Struthio camelus: one gene and its partner. The protein of the gene in region 2 purifies or fractionates together with the protein of the main gene of each other region. This does not show direct contact. Links are inferred from orthologs where the notes say so. Each region holds a gene or a part of one and is shown on either strand. Other genes may lie near its edges.

Region 1 (7,534 bases), on a different chromosome or scaffold from region 2:
AGTCTTACCATGACCTGTTTTTGCAACTCAAGACATCTTCTTTTAATTCAGGCTTTTGAAACAAAGCAGCTTTAGTAAAATCACCCATCCCCAATTTTAACCCCCGACTAAACACTGTTCCAAGTCACGCACCGGCTAAAACCGTCCTCCAAGGGCTTCGGAGCGCTCTACACGCACCGATCACTTTGAAAGACCGAGGAGCATGTAGCACACGTATCAAATCAAAGCAGAAGCTGGATTTCCTCACCTGTACACCACAACAGCGGTGAGACCAGCAAAGGAGCCAAAAACCAACAACCGACGCTTCCTCAGGCCTTGCGCGCCTCAGTATCTTTGCAGCGCAAAGCGGCGAACGCAGCAACTTCTCCGGGTGAGAAATCACAACTTACCTGCCGATCTACATGCTCTAATAGGGGGCCGGGTCAAGGAATCGGGACTTCCAAAGGGATGCTCGTTCGCTAAAACGAAAAACATATTAAACGCGCAGCAAACCCGAGCTGGTCCCTCGGCCGCCCGCCCGCCCGCCCCGCTTCGCGCCGCCTCCCCGCCCCCTCAACCGCGGGACCCACCGCGGGGCGCCCAGCGCTGCGCGCGCCCGCCCGCGCCGCTCACCCGCCGCAGCGCCTCCGGGACCGGGCTCGGCCTCGGCCTCCTCCGCCTGCGCCGCTCCTCCCGCGCCCGACAACCGGGGGCTCTTCCGCCTGCGCTTCAGCTCGGTGGCGTCCGGCGGAGCCTGCCCGCCGCTATCCCCCACCATCCTCCCCGCCGCCGCCGCCGCCGCCGCCGCCCCACGGAGCCGCCGACGCCGCCGTCCCCTGCCCCGGCCGCCCGCCGCCGCCGCTCCGCTCCGCTCCGGACCGAAGCTGCCGCCTTCCCGCGGAGGGGGCGTCGCCGCGAACCTCACTTCCCGCCGCGGGGCGGTGCCGGCGGCCGCCGCTTCCGCCGCGCCGCCATTCGGCGGGGCCGGCGGGCGGATGGAGCGCCGCGGTGTCACGTGGTACAGCGGCGCCCCGACCCCCGGCATGGCCGCGCGCCCTTCCCGCCCTTTCCTCTCTGCCCTCCCCCTCCTCGCGCCGCTGAGGCGGCGGCAGCGGCCGCCGGAGCCCGCCCGTCCGCCCCCGCTTCCGACGGGAAAGGCGGCGGCCGTCCCGGCGCCCCACGCTGCCCCCAAGTGAAAAAAATGAAGGAGAGCCCAGCGCGCCGGGCCGGCCCCCTTGGCCCGGCCTCCCGCCTGCCTGCCCGCCTCAGGCGGCGGCGGCCTCGGTGCCTCGGGCCTGGTAAAGGCCGCGGGGGCCCCACCGGCCCTGGCCGCCCCGGCTGCGGGCGCCCTTCGAGCCCGAGCGGGCGGGTGCGAGAGCCCGCGGCACACGGCACCCGTCTCGTTTGGAGGCAAGGCGGTATTTGCCGGACAAATTAACGGGCACCTTGGCGCGTACCAGTAAATACCGCCCTTCTCTCCAGGTGTGGAAGCTGAATGCAGAGGCAGAGCAATGTTTCCGAAAGCAAAAACTCAGAAGAGGGTGTGATAAATAACCTCATTAGGAAGGAGGTTTCAAAGTACAACGGCACTGCTCGTTCTGATTCAAACCCGAGTAGAAAAAAGAGCTGCCGGATGACTGACTCATCGTTTCTGATCAGGCAGGTGACCTGCTGGAAATGAAGTTAGAAGAAGTACCGCTTTATTCACAGGTTTCCAAAGAACAGAACTAAATGGTTACATTATGTAAACAATGACATTAGGTAAAGAAAAATAGGACTCGAAAGCATGTTCTCTATAATCCAGTTGATTTATGATTACCGTTCGTCCTCCTGCAGACTGAGAGGGGAGACTATTCCTCTTTAAAGAAAACTCCTCATCAGACTTGGGTTAAAAAAGGATCAGATTTGTTAAGTCAGAGTTCTGTATGCCAGCTGAAATGCAAGGGCATGAACGCTAAAAGGGAAAAAGCAACATTACACAATGTCAACATGCTTTTTTGTAATAGCTGTGTGATCCTGGATAGTGCCAAAACAGTTTTGTCGTAGCTAATTCTCTTGCCAAAATGCTTTTCAGTAACGAAGCGTGAAGTCTGCAAAGGCTTACACTAGTGCCTGACTTTGTCCTGACTCACGGTCCTTGGCGGGTGCAGTGCCACCATCAGTTTTAGTAATCTATAATGCATAGAGGGTTAGTAATCGGGGGGCTCAACATCCAGGCAGCAGCAAGCAGCAAGCCCAGAGGTGGAGGCAGGGAGTGACAGCGTTCAACAGCTTCATCAGTGACCTGGATGAAGCGTCCTCACACATCTGCAAACGTTACCAACTTTCTCCTCTTGCTCTCTCCTTTGAATAATCTCCCTGCCTTTTCCTGAGGTCCCCTGCAGCTCCTGTCCACTTTGACCACCTTTCCTATTTCTTACTTATGGCTCGAAGCAGATCAAGTCAAACGTATCTTTGGCCAGGCGTGCAAGGTGGACAGCAGCAAAGACCAGGACCCTCAGGAAGGTGTTGATCTACTCACAGCCTGATCTTGGGACTATCCGGCAGCTATGATGCTAGGAGAGCTCTCTGTAGATAAGCCACGGAGACTGTTGCTTCCTGCTTCGCCAACCTCCCTGGATTTATAGTCCTCTACTGCAACCTGTGAGGGGTTGGCCGTGATAAAAGAATTTGCTGAATCTGCCAAGAAAGGAGGTGGACTCTGTCCCCTCCCAGCCACTATCAACAGGGTGGCTCTGCAGTTCCCCGAGGAAGCTGCCTGCCTTTCTTCACTGCTGGAGAGCAGGTGCAATCTTGCTACTGCTACAGGAGGTAGGAAAACAGGGAGATCCATACTGACCATGAAGAAGCCCATCTATTCTCTATCCAGCCTAAATCAGCATGTATCTTAGAAGTATTAGTCCACATCATGCAAGCAGATTTGTTTCTGTCATAAAATCTGTACAATCTTGTGCCCATGCACACATCTTAAAATAAGGTACCACCTTTCTGCTATGACCAGCATGGGTGTTGATACGCATATACACACTTAACCGTTTGTGTAGCATGGCACACGTGCATGTCTGTCCCGTAACCGAGCAATTACAATAGGTTGAGGGACGGACACAAAAGCAGGCACAGGCAGGGGGACAGGTCATGGAGGCCTTTGGAAAGAGGGAGCAGGCCATCCGGCAGGCCCAATGGCCCAGTTGACCTCTTTTTGGCTGTAACACCCCCAGTACAATGGTTCGGGATGCGGGGGGAGTGTGAGGAAAGCGACCACAGAGCGGCACCCAGCTCACATGCTCCACCTAAATGGCATCTCTCATTGCCAGGTACATCCCTGCCCAGTCCTGCATTAACTGCTGGTGGACCTGCTGTCCATGAATTAGTCCAATCCTTTTTTTGAACCTGCTGACACTCTGCCTCCACAGCCTTCTGTAGCAACAAAATCTGAAAGTTTCTACATTTTCTGCATCTGTATTTTTTTTTTCTGCCCACTTGAACCTGACCTCCTACCTGTTTTATCAAGTGCCCCACGTTCTCTTACTGAGGGACCTGGTGAGTAACAACTCAGCATCAATCAAATCCCCTCTCTGCTTTCCAAATGGAAGAGCCCCAGCCGTTTACTCTCTGCTCCATACCTGTACTATTTCGGTTGCCTTTCTCTGTACTTTGTTTCAGCAGTTTGTCACTGGGCTCCCCTGGGGTGCTGGTAAAAAGGTTGCGGGCTCAGAGGAGGGCTCCAGTCTCTGCATAGCTGTTCCTCGCACCGGATGCCTTTCCACCCCACTGTGCCCTGCTCCACGCCACCAGTCCCCTTGAAATGCCCCCCAGCAGGGTATCGGGTGGCAGGGGGCAGAAAGCGTCTGTCCCTTGTGCGGACACAGTGAGGCCAATTATAATGTCTTTTGAAAATCATTGCCCCAGCAAGGCCAGGAGCAGCTGCACAGGCTCGCTCTGGGCTCTTCTGCCTGCTGAGGTGCCGGGCACATCCCCGCGCCTGGTTCCCCTCCAGGCGGGTGCTCAACACGCTCCCTTTCACGGGAATGCCCCAGCCTCCCTGCACTCCCAGAAGGTGACTTTTCCAGAGTCTGAGGGTTGTTGGCTACATTTGGGGCATTTTGTAATACTTCAGTCTTCCTAAATCATCTCTCAAAACAATTTCTCTCCCTGCTGCGATTTATTTAAATCTGCAACACTGTTACCTAACATGGAAAGAAGCTAGTCATTCGGTTGGCCTGAAGGAAACTGCGTGCAACTGCAGAGTTTCAGAAATACAGCCAAAAAAAAAAAAAAAAGTGACCTTTTCCTAAATACTCCTTGGCGCAATGCCCTTGCTGATCTAGTTATTGCTCATTAAGGAAAAGCCAGCCGTCTTCGGAGGGAAAGAAGGAAAACTACAGCTCCCAGCAGCCTGCCTGGGCACCGGGGAAGGGCAGAGTTCACTGTCACGTTGACAGCGGAGGATTAAGAGTGCACGGCTGGGGAACGGGCTGTCCTGCCAACCGCGGGGCCACCAGGCCTCCGGGAAGGGCGCGCGCACGCTACGGTGCTGTCACCAGCCGCCTCTTGCAGCCCCTCTGCTTGGCTTCGCCACCTGGACCGGCTCCAAACCTGCACGGGTAAGCGCTGACTCCAGCAGAGACTTTGCTCCTCCGACTTCCTTCTTCTGCCAGCGTCACTGCGGGGACCCAGCGCGGGGAGGGGACGGGAGGGACGCGAGCCCAGCAGCAATTATATCCCCCCCCAGCCTCATAGGCAGCAAGAAAACCCGGTTATAGAGACAGCATCGGGTGGCAGAAGGTGCCCCCTTCGGCTAGGAGAGCTGCTGTAAAGATCGGATATTGAGGTCTTGTATTTCACGTAAATCTGCAGGAACTGGTCCCTGGCAGGGAAAGTTTCTCGTGCGTTGTACCTGCTCCCTGCTGCTCACCCTTGCTGGCTGGTGGTCGGGCAGGCGTTGCGCTCATGAAACCTATGGGCTGGAGTCTGTATTGATGGGGAAACGCGGGCACCAGAGAAGTCTGCTTCCACAGTGCCCGTTTCCTCTAAGACTCCCTGTCTGGAGGTTTCCGAGTGGTCTTGAAAACACAGCTTCGCTGTCTTCGGCTATGCCAGTAATACTAGCTACCTGCTGCGGGCGGCTGCCTGCTCCCACGGTGCTTCTGCTGCGGGAGGGACTATCGCTGCGGATGGTGTAGGAGAGTCGGCCCGCAGCTCCCAGTTTATTAATATCCATTAATTAACATTAAAAAGTAATTATTAATATCATAATAAAGCTAGGGCTTTGCTCTGTGTCGATGCAGCTGCGTTGTGCAGGATACCGGGTGTCTCCAATTGCATGTAAGAGCCTGCAGAGCCGCAGCCTCGAGGCCTGCAGTCTCGGAGGCGGCACAGCATGGCTGCGGCTGCCCGGCTGGATAAGAAACCCCTGCCCGGGCGTGCTGGCTTGTCCCAGGACAGCTCTGCAAAACTGGTGCAGCCCCTGGACTGTTTGTAGCCTGCTGGGCAGGTGAAATAGTTACTATTGTTTGGGCTCAAGCGCTCGTGTCATGCATTATTGGAAATGCGCCTGGGCACATCCATCCATTTTCACATCACCCAAGCAGCTTGATAAGTACAGACAGGGAGGGAGCAGCCTCCTCTTCCACTCAATCACAGCTTCTGCGCTTGTGCTTATCAGTTTTACTGGTGGTTAGTTGCAATTCCTGAGGCCCTGAAGGGATGGTGTCTGCGTGCAGGGGTAGGACTTGCTCGGCCACTCAAGCGGCAGGGAGACAAGTCTCCTTATGACCAAGTCGGAAAGTGAAACAGAACAGTGCAGAGCCCAGGACTCCAAGAGAGCAAGAAAATGGAAGAGAATCCAAATGCGGACCTCTGCCAAGGTAAGCAAATCCCACTCGTGCTCCATGTACTGCCCCTTTGCAAGAAAATTTCAACAGTGAAAAGGGAAACCTGAAGCAAGAAAGAGAAAGCGGCTATCTTTTGCGGGGGTGGGGAGGGAGGGGAAGGATAAGTTACTTTCAGTTTTGGATTCCCAGCAGCAACAAGCTTAGACTTGGTGTCCAGGACTGTAGCGCAAGAAGGACTCCAGAATGGGAGAGGTTTCTTCCCAGCCTCCCAGCGCTTCCCCATGAGAGGCAGCTTTGTTGTGAAGCTGGTTGCAGAGAGGAGAATACCCTCTCTGGGGCAGCAGGCCAGAGAGAGGACAATCCAGTAGAGCAACTCCCATCGCGGGGATACATGCAATGGGTGGCAGGGGCTGGAGAGCAACTCCTTCCTATTACCGCTGAGGAAGAAGAGGCTCTGTTGAACACTGGTATCTCAGACGGACCCCCTTAGAAAGGCAGCTCTGAGTTTATAACAAAATACACTTCCATTTGAGCAGCGAGCCTCAAAGGCTTATTTATACCTGGCAGGCAGGCACACATTTCACACAGAGACAACTTGGCTCAAGCTCAGGATCCAAACTGCAGAGCCCAGATTCCACAAATCTACAGGTGCTTAAATAACAAGCCCTTCTTCCACCATCTATGGATGGGAAACCTCCCTGGACAGGCGCTGTTTGTGCCCAGTTTGAATAGCAGGATACCTCTCAGGTTCCTCACGTTTCAATGTCTAGCATGTACTTACATTCTCCTGGTACCTTGTTATTAGTAGTACATGTGGGTATTTCAGTGATGCCTAGATGCTATAATCAGATAAGACCTGTCCTAAGCGTTCTGAAATGTTCCCATAATAATCAGCAACAAAGAACGTAATAATCATGCTCCAAAGGACAGTGTGTTCTGACACGAAACCAGTGCAGCTATTTGTCTGTTTTCAAATTAGTGGGGAGTTCCTTGCGATTTTTAATCAATCTTTATTCTAATTTTAGCACAATCATTTCTGTCACTGTAGAGCTAGATCTGTAGGATCATTCACACTCCCGCCCTTTTTGTTTAAAAAAAAAAAAAAGTCAGATTTGAGCTGCAGTGTTAAGCATTTGCAAGATTCCAGATCTTGCCAAACTAATGTTCAGCTTCAGAATCTCTCTGTTGAATTCCTCTCTGATATTTGCTCTTAATTTGCTGCTTCTACAATACCTGATCTTAACTGTTTGGGAGAACAGCTCCAGAACAGGGACAGAGCACAAACAGAGCTAACATTTAATTTTTTTTCAGGCAGATGCTCAGAGTGTTGACATTAACTATTCCGGCCAATATCCAACAACAGCTTTAGAAACGCTTCAGATCAGTCATCTTAATTTACCAGCCTAGGAAAACCACTGTCTGTGGAAGATGTGGTAACATATCCTAACACTTAATGAAGAAACTGCTCCCCATCATAGGGCAACGTTAACGGGGTTTGTGCATTAAAAGCATTTCTATTTACCAGCCCTGGACAGGTTGAAGTGTAGATAGAGGAGTGTGTCCCTAAAAGTGATTAGTCATTGCGTAGCCACTATTGCAGTCACAAATGCAAAGACCCAGTTGAGTCCTTTTTGAAAGCATGAGGCAGCACGATTCATTGGTGATGATGGCTGGTCACAGTAAATTCTGTTCTTGGCAATTTGTTTGTATAGATGTTTCTG
Region 2 (7,185 bases):
CCCATCCCTGTCCCCTCCTCTACCCCATCACCATCCCTTCCTGTCCCCCACCCCGGTCCCCATCTGTCTCCCATCCCAGTCCCCTCTTCTCCTCCATCCCAGTAACCCATCCCCGTCCCCTCCTCTCCCCCATCCTGGTCCCTGTCTGTCCCCCATGCCGATCCCCATCTGTCCCCCATCCCTGTCCCCCATCCCAGTCCCCATCTGTCTTGGGGTACCCTCTTCTCCTCCATCGTGGTCCCTTCCTGTCCCCCATCCAGGTCCCCATCTGTCCCCCATCCCTGTCCCCATCTGTCCCCCATGCCGATCCCCTTCTGTCCCCCCATCCCGGTCCCCATCTGTCCCCCATTGTGGTCCCCTCTTCTCCTCCATCGTGGTCCCTGTCTGTCCCCCATCCAGGTCCCCATCTGTCCCCCATCCAGGTCCCCTCCTCTCCCGCATCCTGGTCCCTGTCTGTCCCCCATGCCGATCCCCATCTGTCCCCCATCCCTGTCCACTGCTTTCCCCCATCATGGTCCCCTCTTCTCCTCCATCGTGGTCCCTTCCTGTCCCCGATCCTGGTCCCCATCTGTCCCCCATCGCCGTCCCCTCCTGTCCCCCAACCCAGTCCCCATCTGTCCCCCATCGCCGTCCCTTCCTGTCCCCAACCACGCCAAACCCAGCGGTGGTTGGTGGTGGCGTGGGGTGGGGCAGGGGGGGAAAAACCATTGCGACACATCCCCTTTTATTCACCGCCAACACCGGAAACCCCAGGTCGCCGGCGTCTTCGGGGTGGAGGAACCGGCAAGCACCGTGGCAGCGGCGGTGGTGGCCTGAGCTGCCCGGGCCGGTCGCGGGGAGGTGACGGGCGTCGCGACGGAGCGCGGGAAGGACTCGGCGGCGAAGTAGTAGGCGAGAGGGTCGAGGACGGCGTTGGTGCAGGCGAGGAGCAGGGTGCAGCGGTAGGCTTGGTCGAGGGCCGGCCCTGGGGCGGCGCGTAGCTGGTAGCAGAGCAGGACGGCGTGGAAAGGCATGAAGCACGCCAAGAAGATGGCCACGTGGCTGAGCACCATGCGCCTCACCTTGGCGCCGTCCAGCAAAGCCATGCGGGCGGCCGGGCTGCGCCCCACGGCCCGCAACAGGGCCCACGAGCAACCCACCACGACGGCCAACGGCAGGCCGAAGGCCGCCGCCATGGCCCAAGCCACGGCCGGCTGCGTGATGTAGCGGGGCCGCTCGTCGAAGCAGCGCGTCGCCTCCGCCGCCGTCGTCGCCTCCTCCGCCGCTCGCCGGCCGGCGGCGTAGACCGGCACGCAACCCAAAGCGCTGAGCGCCCAAGCGGCCGCGCACACCAGAGCCGCCCGGCGCCGGAAACGGGCCGCGCCGGCGTGTAAAGGCAAGCAGACGGCCGCCCAACGGTCGCCGTTGAGGCCCGTCAGCAGGAAGATGCTGCCGTACATGTTGACCAGCAGCAACCAACCCAGCAGCTCGCACGCGGCTCGCGGCAGAGCCGCCCGGCCGGCGTAATGGGCCACGCGGGCCGGCAGCGACGCCACCAGCAGCAGGTCGCAGGCGGCCAGGTTGCGCAGGTAGGTGGCCGTCGGGGCCGCCGGCCGCCCGCCCCGGCCCAGCAACGCCAGCGCCGCCCCGTTCAGCCCCAGGCCCAGGGCGAAGATGAGGCCGTAGAGGGCGGCGAAGGCCGGGTTGGCGCCCGCCGTGCAGTTGGCGCAAGGCGCCGGCCCGCTCGGGCCCGGCGGCTCCAGGATGGCCGTGGCGGCGGGGGCCTGGGGATGGGATGGGATGGGGGGGTTGGTTTGTTTGTTTTTTTTGGGGGGGGGGGTCCGACCTGCCCGGGAGCCTGGTTGAGGGGGGTTGGTAGGAGTTGGGGAGGGGTCTCGGAGGTGTTTGGGGGTGGTCTCTGGGGGTCCCTGAGGGGGTCTTGGGGGTGTTTGGGGGGTATTTGGGGGTCCCTGAGGGGGTCTGGGGGTGTTTGGGGGTATTTGGGGGGGCTCTGAGGTATTTGGGGGTCCCTGAGGGGGTCTCAGAGGCACTCGGGGGTATCTGGGGGGGCTCTGGGGTATTTGGGGGTCCCTGAGGGGGTCTTAGAGGCGTTTGGGGGGACCCTGGGGTATTTGGGGATCCCTGAGGGGGTCTCAGAGGCACTTAGGGGTATCTGGGGGGCTCTGGGGTATTTGGGGGTCCTTGAGGGGTCTCAGAGGTGTTTGGGGGGGGTCTCTGGGGTATTTGGGGATCCCTGAGGGGGTCTCGGAGGTGTTTGGGGGTGGTCTCTGGGGGTCCCTGAGGGGGTCTTGGGGGTGTTTGGGGGGTATTTGGGGGTCCCTGAGGGGGTCTTGGGGTGTTTGGGGGTATTTGGGGGGGCTCTGAGGTATTTGGGGGTCCCTGAGGGTTCTCAGAGGTGTTTGGGGGGGTCTCTGGGGTATTTGGGGATCCCTGAGGGGGTCTCAGAGGCACTCGGGGGTATCTGGGGGGCTCTGGGATATTTGGGGGTCCCTGAGGGGTCTCAGAGGTGTTTGGAGGGGTCTCTGGGGTATTTGGGGATCCCTGAGGGGGTCTCAGAAGTGTTTGGAGGTGTTTGGGGGGGTCCCTGGGGTATTTGGGGGTCCCTGAGGGGGTCTCAGAGGCGTTTGGGGGGACCCTGGGGTATTTGGGGATCCCTGAGGGGGTCTCAGAGGCACTTAGGGGTACTTGGGGGGGGCTCTGAGGTATTTGGGGGTCCCTGAGGGGGGTCTCGGAGGCATTTGGAGGCTTCCTGAGGGGGTCTCGGGGGTGTTTGGGGGTATTTAGGGGGATCCCAGGGGTATGTGGGAGTCCCTGAGAGGTCTCAGAGTCATTTGGGGGTATCTGGAGGGGCTCTGAGGTATTTGGGGAGGCCCTGAGGGGGTCTCAGAGGTGTTTGGGGGGTCCTTAGGGTATTTGGGAGGATCCCTGGGATATTTGGGGGTCCCTGAGGGGATCTCTAGGGTATTTGGGGTCCCAAGGGGCTCCCAGCTGTGGAGCTGGGGGGGTCCCCGGGGTGTTTGGGGTGATCGGGGAGTTTGGGAGGTCTGCAGGGGGCCTCCTGGCTCCCTGCCCTGACCCCCCTGGGAGGGACCCCCCACCCTGGGGACCCCCCGCACCCTGTCCCCCTTGTCCCGGGGACTCACCGTGCTCCCTCCCCACGCCGGGTGCCTGGTGGGGTCCAGAGTGGCTGCTCCCGGGGTGCTTTTGGGGCCAAGCTCCTGACGCAAGCCTGGTAGGTGGAAACTGGGGAGCACTGGGTTGAACTGGGAGGCACTGGGGAGGATTTAGGTTGGGCTGGGAGGCAGTAGGAGGGGACCGCAAGGCTCAGGATTGGTCTGGGGGGGCACCGGAAAGGGTCTAGGAGGAACTAGGGTGGAGTGAGAGGCACTGGGTTGAACTGGGAGGCATTAAGAGGGGACCATGAGATCCGGGGGGGGGCACCGGAAAGGGTCTGGGAGAAACTAGGGTGGAGTGGGAGGCACTGGGTTGAACTGGGAGGCACTGGGGAGGATTTAGGTTGGGCTGGGAGCAGTGGGAGGGGACCGCAAGGCTCAGGGTTGGTCTGGGGGGGGGTACCGGAAAGGGTCTGGGAGAAACTAGGGTGGAGTGAGAGGCACTGGGTTGAACTGGGAGGCGCTGGGGAGGATTTAGGTTGGACTGGGAGGCAGTGGGTTGAACTGAGAGACATTGGGAAAGGCCTGGGTGGGAGGAACGAGGTTGGACTGGGCGGGAAGGGCAGCAAGGGGCTGGCCTGGAGGGGCGCTGGGAAGGACTGGGAGGTGCTGGGAGGGACCAGGCTGGACTGGGTGGGACTGGGAGGCACTGGGAGGCTGCCCACCCCGGTCCCAGCACTCACCTGGCACCGGCGGAGCCCCCCCGGGTGGTGACGAGGGGCCAAACGGGGCCCAGAGCTGCCCCTGAAACTCCCGGCTGCTCGGTGGCTTCCTGCCACCCGAAGGAGAAGTGCCGGCGCGCCACATCCGGGAGAACGGGGACGCCGTGGGGACGGGCACGGGGACGGGCACGGGGAGGGGGGCATGTGGGGATGGGGACGTCTTGGGGGGACACGGGGCCTGGGGATGGGAGTGGCCCTGGGGATGGGGATGTCTTGGGGGGACGTGGGGCCTGGGGATGGGAGTGGCCCTGGGGACGGGGACATCTTGGGAGGACATGGGGCCTGGGGACGTCCTGGGCACAGGGACACTTGGGGATGGGGACACCGTGGAGATGTGGGGCCTGGGGACAACCTGGGGATGGGGACACCTGGGGACGAGGATGTCATGGTGACATGGGGCCTGGGGACACCTGGGGAGGGGGACATCCTGGGGATGGGGATGTCATGGTGACATGGGGCCTGGGGACACCCTGGGCACAGGGACGCCTAGGGACGGGGACCTCCTGGAGAAGAGAACGTCATGGCAACCTGGGGGCCCAAGGACGTCCTGGGGATGGGGACACCTGGGGATGGGGACACCATGGAGATGTGGGGGCCTGGGGACGGGGACGCAGTGGAGATGTGGGGCTTGGGGACACCCCGGGGATGGGGACACCTGGGGATGGAGACATCATGGAGATGTGGAGGCCTGGGGTCAGCCCGGGGATGGGGACACCTGGGGCCGAGGATGTCCTGGGGATGGGGACACCATGGAGATGTGGGGGCCTGGGGAAACCCTGGGGATGGGGACACCATGGAGATGTTCAGCCTGGGGACACCTGGGGAAGGGGACACCTGGGGACGGGGACACCATGGACATGTGGGACATGAGGACAACCGGGGCGGGGGGGGGGGCAGGGCACGTGACCAGCCCCCTCCCTCCGCCCGCCTTCCCGCCGACAGCGCATGCGCGCCCGCCGACACTCCCGCGTTTCTCCGCGGCGCATGCGCGCCCGCTTCGCCCCCCCGCAGCCAACGCCCACGCCCTCTGCGCATGCGCAGAGGCGCTGAGTACGGCGGCCGGGCGGGGACACGCCGAGCCAAGATGGCGGCGGCCGGCGCCTCTTCCTCCGCGGCCGGGAGCAACGGGACCGGCGGCATGGAGGTGGACGCAGCAGGTACCGCCCGCGGGGGCTTCAACCGGGCTCCCGGGCCTGGCGCCGGGGGCCGCCTCGGCGCCGGCTTCACCCCGCACCCGCCCCGGGTCTTGGCCCCGCCCCCACGACTCTAGACACGCCCCCGGGCGTTGCGGGTCCGGCGCGGGTCCCACCCCTGAGGCCCCGCCCACTGCCCCCTCTGGCCCCGCCTCAACCCCCCTTGGCCCCGCCCCAATCCCCCCACTGGCCATGCCCAAACCCGCCTTGGCCCCGCCCCAACCCCCTTTGGCCACGCCCCAATCCATTTGACCCCCTCCCAGTCCCTTTGGCTCCGCCCCAATCCCCTTGGCCCCGCCCCGATTCCCCTGGCCCTGCCCTTTTTTGGGGGGGGGAAGGGAGGGGTGTGTGTCTCACCTGGGAGGGCCCTATCGCCCTGGCCCCGCCCCCAGGCCCTGGCCCCGCCCCTCCACCCCCAACGGCCCCGCCCTAGATCCTATAGCCACGCCCACAAGTCGTGCATTTCCCCCCCACACACACACAAAAAAAAATCCCCAGGGGCCAGAAGCCCACTCGGCCCCGCCCCCAGCCCCCCTCGGCCCCGCCCCCACCATCCTCGGCCCCGCCCCCAGCCCCCCTCGGCCCCGCCCCCAGCCCCCTGACGCGGTGCCCCCGCAGCGGCCCCCTCGGTGATGGCAGCGGGGGTGACGGGCAGCGTCTCGGTGGCCCTGCACCCCCTCGTCATCCTCAACATCTCCGACCACTGGATCCGCATGCGCTCCCAGGAGGGGCGCCCCGGGCAAGGTAACCCCCCCCCCCGATACCCCCCCACTGCCCCCCGATACCCCCGACTGCCCCCCCATACCCCCGACTGCCCCCAATACCCTCCCACTGCTCCCCGATACCCTCTGACTGACCCCGATACCCCCGACTGCCCCCCCATACCCCCGACTTCCCCCAATACCCTCCCACTGCCCCCCGATACCCTCTGACTGCCCCCCAATACCCCCAACTGCCCCCTCGATACCCCAATACCTCCCTGACTGCCCCCGATACCCCCGACTGACCCCCGATACCCCCCAACTGTCCCTGCCACCCCCCAATACCCCTGATACCCCCTGACTGCCCCCCGATACCCCCCAACTGCCCCCGATACCCTCCGACTGCCCCCGCCAATCCCAATACCCCCCGACTGCCCCCGATACCCCCCAATTGTCCCCCAATACCCTCCGACTGCCCCCCACTGCCCCCAATACCCCCAGATACCCCCGACTGCCCCCTGCCACCCCCTGATACCTCCTGGTGTCCCCTGACTGCCCCCCAGCTGCCCCTGATACCCCCTAACTGTCCCCTGATACCCCCAACTGTCCCCCGATACCCCCCAATTGCTCCCTGATACCCCCCAACTGCCTCCCAATACCCCCAATACCCCCCCACCGCTCCCTGATACTTCCCGACTGCTTCCCGACTGCCCCCCGCCATCCCCTGCCTGCCCCCTGCCGCCCCCGATACCCCCTGGTGCCCCCTGACTGCTCCCCACCACCCCCTGAGACCCCCCGACTGCCGACCAGCTGCCCCTCGCCACCCCGATACCCCCTGGTGCCCCCTGACTGCCACCCACCACCCCCGATACCCCCGGTGCCCCCTGGCTGTCCCCCGACTGCCCCCCCGGCACCCCCCGACAGCCCCCTGGTGCCCCCCGACTGCCGACTGTGCCCCCCAACTGCCCCCCGTGGCTCTAGACTGCCCCCCGCCACCCCCTGATATGCCTGGCACCCCCTGATGCCCCCGGTGCCCCCCCTCGACTGCCCACCTTGCCCCCCCCCCCCGACTGTCCCCACAACCCTCTGGATGAGCCCCCCCCCAAGTCCCCTGGACTGGTCGCAGGGCCACCAGAGTGGTCCCAGTGTCTCTCACAGCCCCCTGGACTGGTCTCAGGGCCCCTCAGACTGGTCCTGGCAGCTCCATACTGGTCCCAGTGCCTTGAGGATGGTGGCTCTGCACTTGGGGCTGGCTGTGGGGGAGGATGTGCGTCCTGCAGAGCAGGGGACGGGGACACCCAGTGGCACTGGTGTGACAAGGTGACCGTGCCACCAACCCTGTGCTGGGTGGGATGCCCCCCCCCAACCCCGGCTATCCCACGCTGGAGGGGAGAGA

The links.
Region 1: the proteins of COPS6 (region 2) and torsin-1A-interacting protein 2 purify together in Homo sapiens (affinity purification with mass spectrometry, with the first as the bait; 3 studies listed by BioGRID). This does not show direct contact. The link is inferred for Struthio camelus from reciprocal best matches to the Homo sapiens genes COPS6 and TOR1AIP2.

Annotation. Positions count from the first base shown.
Region 1 is NC_090949.1:6,528,931-6,536,464, reverse strand, and holds the start of torsin-1A-interacting protein 2, read left to right. Parts: upstream 1-4,388; 5' UTR 4,389-4,583; intron 4,584-5,702; 5' UTR 5,703-5,812; coding exon 5,813-5,846; intron 5,847-7,534. Other genes in the region: torsin-1A-interacting protein 1, read right to left, coding at 390-458, 613-757. UniProt on the Homo sapiens protein: Required for endoplasmic reticulum integrity. Regulates the distribution of TOR1A between the endoplasmic reticulum and the nuclear envelope as well as induces TOR1A, TOR1B and TOR3A ATPase activity.
Region 2 is NC_090978.1:609,707-616,891, reverse strand, and holds the start of COPS6 (COP9 signalosome complex subunit 6), read left to right. Parts: upstream 1-3,805; 5' UTR 3,806-3,856; coding exon of another isoform or gene 3,857-3,980; 5' UTR 3,981-3,999; intron 4,000-4,837; 5' UTR 4,838-4,928; coding exon 4,929-5,052; intron 5,053-5,706; coding exon 5,707-5,832; intron 5,833-7,185. Other genes in the region: lysophosphatidic acid receptor 5-like, read right to left, coding at 729-1,763, 3,144-3,229, 3,857-3,980. UniProt on the Homo sapiens protein: Component of the COP9 signalosome complex (CSN), a complex involved in various cellular and developmental processes.